3 linked regions of the Oryctolagus cuniculus genome follow. The protein of the gene in region 2 interacts with the protein of the main gene of each other region in a pairwise test. Links are inferred from orthologs where the notes say so. Each region holds a gene or a part of one and is shown on either strand. Other genes may lie near its edges. The genes, in order: TSGA10IP, CEP70 and METTL17.

Region 1 (3,744 bases), on a different chromosome or scaffold from region 2:
TCCATCTCCAAACCCCGAGGCCCGTGAGCGCGTGCTCAGTCTGTGTTGCGTGAATCACACGATGCATGGGTTAAGGAGGGCGGGAAGACGAGGCAGGGGATGGAGGCAAAGCGGCCTGTGTGGACAAACAGTTCACAGAGAGATGGGTGAGGGAGTGGCTGACTGGATGCCATCAGTGGGTGGGCGGGCCGACGGATGGCCGACGGTGGTTGGGTTGTCAGAAAGACTGGTGGACACAGGGTGGGAATGAAGAGGCGAAGGCGGGGAGGACGGCCGGGGGCTCCCGGAGAGCTGGCTCCTGCCGGCTCCCCGCCCTCCCCGCTCTTTCTCCGCACCTGGTGGCCTCCTGTCGCTTGTGGAAGGTGCGATTGGGGAGGCTGGCAGACGGGAACGTCTCGTCATCTCCCAGCACGTGTGCCTTCCCGCTGCGGTCAGAGGCCTGGACGGGGGTCTGGAGAGCTTTCCAGGGCTGCCTCTGGGGGCCTGGTTCGGTGGGGCCAGATCAGGGCCCACCCTCGTCCCGGCCCGCGGGGGCCAGCCCAGCCCCAGCCCAGCCCCAGGGCTCAGCCCCGCGCTCGCTCACCGCAGTCCAGGTTCTGCTGCAGCTGCCTACGCAGCATCTCCAGGTCCCAGGGCCCCTCCAGCTCCCGGGCCTTCCGCCTCCTCCTCTGGGCCCCGGGGAGGTGGCCGGAGCTGGGGCTGCTCCTGCGGCTCTGGCTCCAGCTCTGCGGGTCCCCAGGGTGCTGCCCCTTTGTCAGGGGCCCGGCCCTCCTCCTGTGGGGGGCCCCGAGCTCCTCGTCCTCGTCCTCCTCCGTCATTTCTGAGCACTGGTCCTCCTCGGAGAGCAGCCCCTTGCGGGGCAGCTGGGGCAGCTGGCGGGGGCTCAGGTCCCTCTCGGGCTCCTCCTCGGCGCCCATGGCCTCCCCCTCCCACTCCAGCGCGGGTCCTGCCGGCTTCCCCGTCGGCCAGAGGGCACGCTCGCTGGGCACCTCCAGCCCTGGGTTCTCCCCTCTGCCCTGAGGCGAGGGGCTCCAGGCCCCCAGCTGCTGCTGCCTCCTCTCAGGGCTTTGCACCTCCATCTTCTGGCAGAAGCCCAGGGCGTCCGGGAGGCTGGCCACGGACCCGCGCCGGGACCTGAGCTGGGGGAAGGGCGGGGCGTGGGGGCCGGGGGCCGAGGGGCCGCTGGGCTGGGACCCCGCGGAGGCACTTGTAATGAAGCTCTCCCAGGCCCACTGGAAGGGGAAGGAAGGTTTCCGGGGAGCAGCGAAGACACTGAAGAGGGAGAGGGCGGGGCGGGGGTCGGGTCAGGGTCGGGTCCGGGTCCGAGCCACGCCCACCCGCCAGCCCCCCTCCAGCCCGCCCCTGCCCCTTACTCCTCGGCCTCCGCGCAGCTCTGGGCTTTCTTGCTCCTCCGCCGGGGCCTGTGGTCCTTCTTGGACGTCTGCCTCGCGCTCTGAGACCTCTGCAGCAGGCTGCGAACCGGGGCGCCCTCGCCGCTCCTGGGGTTCCCCTGGACCAAGACGGGGTGGGGAGAGGGGAGGCCACCTCTACACATCCCTGGAGTCCTTCTCCTCCCCTGCACACCCTGACTGGGCCCCTCTGAGACCCATCACCACTCTCAAGTCTTCCTATTGAACTAGCAATGGCTGGGGCTGGGGCGCAGTGGGTTAAACCCCTGCCTTGCAGCGCCGGCATCCCATAGGAGCGCCAGTTCATGTCCCGGCTGCTCCTCTTCCCATCCAGCTCTCCGCTAATGGGAAAGCAGTGGGCGATGACTCAAGTCTTTGGGCCCCTGCACCCATGTGGGAGACCTGGAAGAAGCTCCTGGCTCCTGGCTTCAGATCGGCGCAGCTCTGAACACTGTGGCCATCTGGGGAGTGAACCAGTGGATGGGAGACCTCTTTCTGTGTCTCTACCTTTCTCTGTCACTCTGTCTCTCAAATAAATAAAATAAATCTTTGAAAAAAATAGCAACGGCTGCCATTGATGAGGCTCCTGCCACCTGCTCGGGCCTTTCTCGCAGAACGCATCTAACCACGCCCGGGACCCAGGTCTCACCGTGAGCACACATGGCTGGGAAGCCGTGGAGCCGGGACCCAGCCCCGTGCCATCTGTCCCCAGCCAGGAGGAGTTCACGAGTCCCCAAGGCAGAGGGATGAGGACCGTTTAAGGGGTGGGTGTGCCGATGCCCAGGTGTGCCCCAGAAACACGCCCAATTATTCCATCTCAGTTAAAACTGAAAAATCAGTGAACAAACTGAGAGAATGAACACTAAATAAGCAATAAAGACCTCGTCAGATGAAGCAGTGTAACGAGTGGACAGCTCTTCTGACGTCCCGTCCGATCCCGGAAACCTGTCTCTCCTGCGGGGTCCATGTCCCCTGGATCACACCGTCACCCCGAAGTCACCCTGTGCCCCTCCTCCACCCCCTCATACCCCTCCCCTGGGGCCTCAGTCCAGTCCTGGCCCCTGAGCCCAGTGCCCGCCTGCCTCTGGGCAGTTGGAAGTCCCCCCCCACGGGGCCCCTCACCTGCTCTGCCTGGGGGATGCTGGACAGAAGGTCAAGCAGCCTCGTGGCCGTCCCTGGAGCCTGAGACCGAGGGTCCTGGCCCGGTCTCCCGGGTGAGGGCCTGGCCAGCTGTGGGTGGGTGTGGAGCATGTTGGTGTCCTGTCCCGTCCCCACCCCCACGTCCACCACAGCGTGGAACTGTCCTTCCGGCCATCTCCACGGCAACCGCTCCCAGCCCGTCTCAAGCGCTCTGGCTAAAGGGACCTCAGGGAGGGGTCCTCCAGGGTAGGTGAGGACCACGGCCAGCCAGGGGACAGTTCAGCTGGACGCTGAGGAGCGACCCAGGCCTGGAGGCCCACAGGACCAGTGCCACAGCCCGCCGCCGCCACGGACCCTGTGTGAGCGGCTCTCCTGCCGTAGCCTCGGCCTGTGTTTCCCCGTCCATCCGCAAAAGGGACCCCAGGACTGGGTCACTCTGGAGGCCCAGGCAGGCTGCAGGGAGGAGGCCTTGGGAGGAATTTCGGCCCCGAAATCTGACCCCAGCCTTCTCGGCAGTGCCGAGCAAAGCCCTGGGATGTGAACCCCCACAAGGCCCCCGCGCCGCCCCCCGGGAGCGGCCTTGCAGGCTCTGTGACTGCTGCTCCTGCACCTGGGCCGTGGGCCCGGCTCAGAGGTCTGCTGCGCGATCACAGGGCGAGGCTTGGGAAAGCGGGCTGCACGGCGGTGAGGACAGCGGCCAGGCGCTGTGGCGCAGGGGGCTGGCAGGTTGCCTGAGACGCTCCCATCACCTGAGCGTCTGCTGGGTTCCCGTCCCAGCTCCACCTCCAATCCAGCTCCCTGCTGGTCTGCGGCTGGAGGCAGCCGCGATGGCTCCGGGACTTGGCCCCTGCCACCCACACGGGAGACCTGGCTCCTGACTTCAGCCTGGCTCAAGCCCAGCTGTTGCGGGCATCTGGGGAGTGGACTAGTGGATGGAAGACCTCTCTGTCCCTCTGCCTTTCAAATAAATAAAACAAAAAATTTTTAAAGATTTACTTATTTATTCGAAAGTCAGAGTTACAGAGAGAGAGAGAGAGAGGTCCTCCATCCGATGGTTCACTCCCCAATTGGCCGCAACGGTAGAGCTGCACTGATGAAGCCAGGAGCCAGGAGCTTCCTCCAGGTCTCCCATGCAGGTGCAGGGACCCAAGGACTTGGGCCATCTTCTACTGCTGTCCCAGGCCATCGCAGAGAG
Region 2 (3,744 bases):
CATAAGCCTCCTCCCTCCTCTTCTCCCTTGTGGGTGATCCTGTGCCTGGCTGGAAGACTGCCTGCCTACCCCAAGCAGGAGGTTAGGAGGGCATGGCACACCATGCCTCCCGGGCACATTTCCCTGACCCCTGCTCCCAGGTGAAGGACCTTGTAAAGGGTCAAATAGGTAAACAACTCCTGGGTGTGCCCCAGACCCATAAGGACCACCTGGTAGGCTACTAGGCTATGTGACCTTCAAGCTGATTGGAGAAGCATAGTGGCGCCAATATCAGATCTATCCTATAGTGTTGCCCTGAATTAGCTACGCCCCCTCTGCCTGCCCTTTAAAAGCTTATGCTTCATCGTTAATAGACATGTTCACAGAAACTGGTCTTGAGTGCGTCTTGTCAAGAGCACCGTCACCAGTGCGGGCCTTGCAGGATCAGCCTACACCAGTCTGTGAAATAAACGTGGTGATAGTTTGCAGCAGCCTTTTCCCCACTGCAGGCTGTTAGAGGAGAAAAGTCCAGAACGCTGAAAGTCACAGAAGAGACTAAACTCTCCCTGGGGCAGAAGCGAGGCTGTAGCTCTACTCAGTGTCACAACACAACTAAAGGCAGGCTGTAGGAGTAAGGTTTGGGGGCTGAGAGTTGGTTTGCACTTGGCATACAGACAAGCAGGGGACAGGCATTTGGCTCAGCAGTTACCATACCTGCATCCCACAGCAGAGTGCCCAGGTTCACGTGCTGGCTTTCCTACCTATGCCAGCTTCTTGCTAGCACACACACACTGGGAGGCAGCAGGTTCTAGCTCAAGTATCAGGTCCCTGGTACGCAAGCAGAACACCTGAACTGAGTACCTGACTCCCAGCCCCAAGTGTTGCGAATATTTGGGAGTGAACCGGCTGATGAAAACTGTTTCTCTGCCTTTCAAATAAATAAAGTGAAAATAAATTAAAAAAAAACCATTAAAAAAATAGCCAAACACAGAAAAGCAAAAACACAGTTGTATCTTCCAGCACTGTCCAGGTTTCCCAACAATCTTTTGGGTCAAATGGTCCCTTATAATATAGCCTAACATGCATCAAACCTTAAAAAACTTATTTTTCTCGCCATTTGGGGGGCGGGGGGAAGAGAGCTGGAAATAACAGATCATGGCCAGTAATTTCTTTCTCAAGTGAGTCATACCGAAAATCTATAAACTTTCTCCGAAGGACGTATTCCAAATCACTCCAACAAATGAACACGCACGGCTTTCCAAGTCTGTGTTCTCCATGAAATGCAAACTAGTCCGAAGATAGGCCAACGTTCCAAAGGACGAACTGAATCCACCACCATTGGGCCCGGACGTCACCTCAACCAAACCATCCTGTGCCGGCGAGGTTACAAGGAGGGCCAGAACACCCTCCTCCCCCGCTCTGAAGCAACCCCGTCAGTGAAACTCCAAATCAGCCGCCTCGTACCCAAAAAGCGGAGCGGAGGCGGCCTGCTCTGCTTGGCAATACTCAAAGTAAAAACAAAAACAAATGCACGCAGAGGGCTGAGACCAACACGGGCAGTGGCTGCACGGCGTCAAACATTATGATGAGAAACCCTTGCTGACTGGTCTGTTACAAGCGTTACTGTTACAAGTGCCTCAGCTCGGGGGATTTTTCACCCTTTAAGAATCACATGAGGCTCCACGTGAAGTCAGAATCCCCTGCGCACCCCGGATCCAGAATGCGCCCGACAACCGGAGAAGGCGGGCTACGCGCCTCCGTGTGTCCCCGGCACCCTCCGCCGACACCTGCCCCACTCCGGGACGCCGAGGGCCGCGGCGGTCAGCGCCCGTCCGCCCTTCGCCGACTCGGCCAGGGTCTAGTCTGATCTAGCCGGGTCCGAGTCTGAGCTCCGCACTGCCTGCCTCGTCTAGCCCCCACAGCCGCCCTGGAAGGCAGCAGACTGCACACAGGAGCAAACGGAGACGCCGAAGACCACAAAGGCTGGGGGGCCGGGGCTCGAAGCAGGTTTAACCAATCCCCAAACCCTCACACAGCCTGCTGGAGCCGGTCCCAGCCCGCTCCACCCGGGGCGCCCGGCAACGCTCGGCGCCCACAGGCCGAGTCCCGAGCGCCACTCACCTTCCTCGGCCGCCCGGCCCGGCCCGGCCCGGCCCTGCCTGGCTCCGCTCCACCGCCTCCGGCCCCGCCTCCGCGACCGTTACCGACGCCAGTGGAGGTTGGCCAATCGAGCCCGAGCGGGTCGAGGTCAAACCTCTGCTCTGCCTCGGAACTTTCTGAGCGATTATCTCCGGCCTCTCGAGGAGGCTGGGTCCGCCGCGCGCCCCCTGGTTGGCTCCGGCTGCTGGGGGCGGGGCTTACCACCACCGCGGGCTGTCATAGGCCCGCTGACGTTTCAGTCGCGCTCTACGGCCTCTCGCTGGCTGGGGCTCTCGCTTACGGAGGGCCTCGGTTCCCCAGGAGATTTCAGATATGCAAATATGTGGCCGCAGGTGAAAATGAGGCTCGGAGCACCTGGCCACTGCGCAGGACCCTCGCCAGGACCGCGAGCTCCTGCTGGGGGAGCAGCCGGCGTGTCGAAGCTCCGGACCTGGGGGAGCCTCGGAGCGGCTGGCGTTTCACCCTCCCTTTGGGCGTTTTCCCGGTGGCCACGAAGTGTCTGGCCCTACATCGGGCTCCGTAAAATGCAGAGATGTGGACGCTGAGGGACAACGGTGGTTTTCCAGGGCCCTGTAGAGACTGGGTCTTGGGCTGCGTAGCATCTGGCAATCAGGGCTCACACTTGGTTTTCCAGTCAGTGTGGCCGTGGGATCCCAGGTGTCTCGTGGCTTTGTGGCGGGATTTTTGTGTGATTTCGCCCCCCCCTCTTTTTTTAATGGAAGCTATTCCTGCGCTGCAGTAAACTTTCTGAAGCCTCAGGCTTGTGTTTGAACCATCAGAAAGGTCTCCAGCTAGAAACACTAGTTCCGGCTTGCCCCTTCTCCCTGTCATTCTCCTTGGAATCCCAGGGCCAAAATTTGGAGATGTCTTGAGTTCTTCTGTTCATGGTGTTTATTCACGGTGACCAATCGACTTCCTTGCCAGACTTTTTTTTTTTTTTTTTTTTTTTTTTTACAGGCAGAGTGGACAGTGAGACAGAGAGAAAGGTCTTCCTTTGCCGTTGGTTCACCCTCCAATGGCCGCCGTGGCCGGCGCACCGCGCTGATCCAATGGCAGGAGCCAGGTACTTATCCTGGTCTCCCATGGGGTGCAGGGCCCAAGCACTTGGGCCATCCTCCACTGCACTCCCTGGCCACAGCAGAGAGCTGGCCTGGAAGAGGGGCAACCGGGACAGAATCCGGCGCCCCGACCTGGACTAGAACCCGCTGTGCTGGCGCTGCAAGGCGGAGGATTAGCCTAGTGAGCCGTGGCGTCGGCCCCCTTGCCAGACTTTTAAAAAAGAAAATCACCTGGGGAGCTTGGGAAACTCCGGATGCAGGGGCCGCCAGACAATCACACCAGGATCTCCAGGTGGGGACCCAGGCATCCAGAGTTTGTAAAGCTCCCCAGGTGATTCCGATGTGCAAGTGTTGTACCGATTCCCACCAGTGAAGACCACCAGGAGCCGACACTCATGCAAACGCAAGAGTTTAATTTCAAACTCAAGTTTGGTTGGACATCTGCACCAGGCGCAGCTGGGCTGGATCGGCGGCCCCTACGGTAAGGTCGTTAGGGTTTTTAGACAGTTGAACATACAAGTTCGGCTATACAGCATCTGATAGGCTT
Region 3 (3,744 bases), on a different chromosome or scaffold from region 2:
AACAAGCTCCTAAAATAGTGGTTCTGAACCTTTCTTGGGTCACAGAATCCTTTTACAGGACAAGAGAACTTTAAGAAAGAAAGAAAAAAAAAAAGCAAAGCATAAAAGCCTACGCAGCACCCTAAGAATCCCTACCGTACAGACTACATTATGAATCAATAAGGGAACAGCAGGTAAGAGCGTTCAAGTTAGACACAGATTTTTCACCTCATGGAATGCCCTGGAGACTGCCGCGAAGCCACCATCCAGTCTCGCTGCCATATACACCAGGCTCAGTCCTTCATTGTAGCTGCACAAAAATCAGAGTCACACCTGCTGACCATTGCGAGGAAATAAGATCTTGGAAAGGGCTCTTCCACTTTAGCTTTTCACTCCCCAGGGCAGAGTGGTCCTGGGGATCACTATCACTCAGGCACTTTTTCAAACACTGCATTGATCATGCAATTGTGCGGCTCCATTCTCCTTTTCAAGTCCAACTTTTCTTCCTTCTGCATGTTTTCTAGTCCCCCTCACCTCAGTTCTTGCCAATGGTAGGTGGTTTTGCGCAGGGCATGTAGCACTGCTCCACGAAGCTTTTCTTCTGTCTGGGATGAGTCTGCGGTGAGAACAAGGACTGGAAGTGAGGACCTAAGGAGAACAGAGACCAGATCCAATATTTAATTCACTGCCCTCCCGGTTCTCCCCTCTCCCACTGGAAAAGCCTCAAAGCTCAAGAAAGCAGCCAAACCTAGAGAAAAATTTCAGCTAAGGATAATCACCACCAGCACCCCTAGAGTGTATGAGATAGTATTTGCCTCCAACAGCAGTATATTCAACTTAACTGACCCTACCCAACAAATTTTTTTCTATAATAAAGGAAAATACAATTTAGATTTAAAGGATAAGAGAAGGACAATTATTTTGTGGATTTCCTCACTTCCCCAAAACTTAAGACTGTGACATCTTGAATGTTCCTATAGGTGGAAAAGGGACTCTATTGTGTTTGGCAAGTATGTACTAAATGCCCATTCAGAGCCAGATTGTGGGGGGTGTAGGGGACACAAGATAAATAAAAGGTCTGTAAGACGAAGGAGCTCACAACCGTGAATATATTACATGTATTCTCCAATCCCAGAGGTTTTCAGCATTAGGCAGTTAACTTTACAGGGACTTTCACCTTAATAAGAATGGGCCAGCGCTGCGGCTCAATAGGCTAATCCTCCACCTAGCGGTGCCGGCACACCGGGTTCTAGTCCCGGTTGCCCCTCTTCCAGGCCAGCTCTCTGCTGTGGCCAAGGAGTGCAGTGGAGGATGGCCCAAGTCCTTGGGCCCTGCACCCCATGGGAGACCAGGAGAAGCACCTGGCTCCTGCCTTCGGATCAGCGCCGTGCGCCGGCCACAGTGGCCGTTGGAGGGTGAACCAACGGCAAAAGGAAGACCTTTCTCTCTCTCTTTCTCACTATCCACTCTGCCTGTCAAAAAAAAAAAAAAAAAAAAGTAGATGGTCCCAACTGGGATCCAGATTTCAATTGCCATACTCTGTCCCTTCCTCACGTCCCAAGGGTAGTCTCTGGAACAAATCTATCTTCCAGTAAGGTGGAAAGTCAAATAAGAAACTCCAATATCTATTTGAGAGACTGTAAAATTATCTCTTGCACTTCATTCCCCAGTTTCAATCCGGCCTAATCTTTCATCAGTCTTCAATCCTACCTGCGTTTTCCAGGAACTTTTTCTCCAGACTCACAGCCCGTCTTTGTAGCTCCTCAGGTTCTACGGGCAAGTGTCGGCTCCAGAGATAATTGGTCAGTGCTTGCACATGCTTCTCCACATTGGGCACTGCGTTCTCTGGAGGCCAGAGATGAAAAGCAGAATTACCTGTGTGCAAAGGCCCATTTCTTTTTCTCCTCGGATACCCCTTTCCCGCCGTTACTTACGGAGTAGCAGTAGCTGGGCGGCGTCAGCCAGTGCCTGTGGCAGTTGCACGCACGGCAGACGTAGGATGCCAGGGTGCCGACGGTGAGGCTTCTTCCCCAGAAAATCGGACTTGTTATCTACCTGACTCACGCCGCGAACAAGGGCCGCCAGCGCCTGGAAGCCGAGAAAGGAAAGCTGGGTGCCAGCCACAAAGGAAGACTGAGGGCTCTCAATTAAAGGAAGCGGCTGCCAAACAGCTCCTTCTTGGAGCGCAGCTGTCTCTAGGGTCCCAGAGCTTCTTCGGGAGCAGAGAAAGTAGGTACTCACCCGGGACTGGGGGGCCATTCGAAGCCCGCGGCGCCATCTGCCCAATATCGAGGGCAACCTCTTTCCCGACGCAGCCGCCATGCCTTCGCAGGCGAACCGGAAACAGAAACGAAAGTGACCCTCAGCTCCCAACGACGCGCGGAACTTCCTCCGGGATTTCGCTCGAGACAGCATCAACCAATGAGAAGAAGGAGTGCTCATTAGTAGCCAATAAGCAGTCGATATGTAAATCTACTCGCGGCGGAAGCCGTTCGTGGGCGGGACTTGGAAGTCAGGTCCGACCTGATCGGCGGAAAGGGGGTGCTGCAGAGCCCGAAATTGAGGGGGCGGGGCATGAGGGACGGAGGCGGGCTTTCGGCTGTCAAAATCTGGTTGCTTTTCTCCCTGTAGAACTGAATCTGGAGTTGTTTTCCTCTGTGAACCGGAGAATGCAGTAATGAAAAGGTGAGGAAACCAGATTTAAACTACTAAAGGTAGTAAATTAATAATTTAGTTAACAGTTTAATTAGTTGTCAGTTTCTCGTCAGTTAGCAATAAGCTAACGCTAACGCTTGCTGAGAACGCCCACATGCTAGGTAATGTGCTAGGAACTTCTCCTTGGGGTCTGTTGGGAAGTCAGCATCCCATATCAGAGTTCCTGGGTTCCGCATTCCAGTTTCTTGCTGGTGCACACCCTGCTAGGCAGCAGGTGATGGCCCAAGTCCTCGGGTCCCTGTCACGTAGGGGACCCGGGTTAAATGACCAGTCCCTGACTTAGGCTTGGCTTCACCCCTGCTGTTGCTGGGATTTGAGGAGTGAATCAACAGGAGATTCTCTCTCTGTGTTTAAAAATAAATTTTCAAAATTAAGGAAGAAAATCCTTCTATGTAATCTAGTTCCTACCAAGGCATATCCTGCTGTCAGCCCCATTTTGCACTTGAGGAAAGTGAGACTTCTAATGGTTAAATATGTGCAAGATCACAATTTTTTTTAAAGATTTATTTTATTTATTTGAAAGAGTTACAGAGAGAGGTAGAGGCTGAGAGGGAGGTCTTCCATCCGCTGGTTCATTCCCCAGACGACTGCAACGGTCAGAGCTGCCCCGATCTGAAGCCAGGATCCAGGAGCTTCTTCTGAGTCTCCCACAGGGGTTCGTTCAGGAGCCCAAGGACTTGGGCCATCTTGTACGGCTTTCCCAGGGCATAGCAGAGAGCTGGATGGGAAGGGGAGCAACCAGTACTAGAACTGGGGCCCATATGGGATGCCGGTGCTTCAGGCCAGGGCTTTAACCCGCTGTGCCATAGTGCCGGCCCCTGAGATCACAAATCTTGTTAGGTGACAGCTAGTTTAACACTGATTTCATTTTTACACAATATGCTATACCCCATATTGTTGGTGGTTGGGGCACAAGTTAGTTAACTTTATGCTAAGTGTTTGGAGGTGTTAGCATGTAACACTAAAAAGCTTACTGTGCCGTAAACTCTTGATATCTGTAGCAAAGGTCCATCCTTACTCTGCTGGGATAGAAGTCTAGTGACAGGATGG

Evidence for each region.
Region 1: the proteins of CEP70 (region 2) and TSGA10IP interact in binary tests that used the Homo sapiens proteins (3 or more experiments, as listed by UniProt). The two-hybrid records come from large-scale screens. The link is inferred for Oryctolagus cuniculus from reciprocal best matches to the Homo sapiens genes CEP70 and TSGA10IP.
Region 3: the proteins of CEP70 (region 2) and METTL17 interact in binary tests that used the Homo sapiens proteins (3 or more experiments, as listed by UniProt). The link is inferred for Oryctolagus cuniculus from reciprocal best matches to the Homo sapiens genes CEP70 and METTL17.

Annotation. Positions count from the first base shown.
Region 1 is NC_091432.1:5,831,829-5,835,572, forward strand, and holds the start of TSGA10IP (testis-specific protein 10-interacting protein), read right to left. Parts: upstream 2,728-3,744; 5' UTR 2,661-2,727; coding exon 2,532-2,660; intron 1,511-2,531; coding exon 1,374-1,510; intron 1,273-1,373; coding exon 584-1,272; intron 484-583; coding exon 336-483; intron 1-335.
Region 2 is NC_091435.1:143,186,492-143,190,235, reverse strand, and holds the start of CEP70 (centrosomal protein of 70 kDa), read right to left. Parts: upstream 2,332-3,744; 5' UTR 2,101-2,331; exon of another isoform or gene 1,169-2,100; intron 1-1,168.
Region 3 is NC_091443.1:53,913,587-53,917,330, forward strand, and holds the start of METTL17 (ribosome assembly protein METTL17, mitochondrial), read right to left. Parts: upstream 2,379-3,744; 5' UTR 2,302-2,378; coding exon 2,221-2,301; intron 2,068-2,220; coding exon 1,914-2,067; intron 1,825-1,913; coding exon 1,690-1,824; intron 596-1,689; coding exon 514-595; intron 290-513; coding exon 208-289; intron 1-207. UniProt on the Homo sapiens protein: Mitochondrial ribosome (mitoribosome) assembly factor. Binds at the interface of the head and body domains of the mitochondrial small ribosomal subunit (mt-SSU), occluding the mRNA channel and preventing compaction of the head domain towards the body.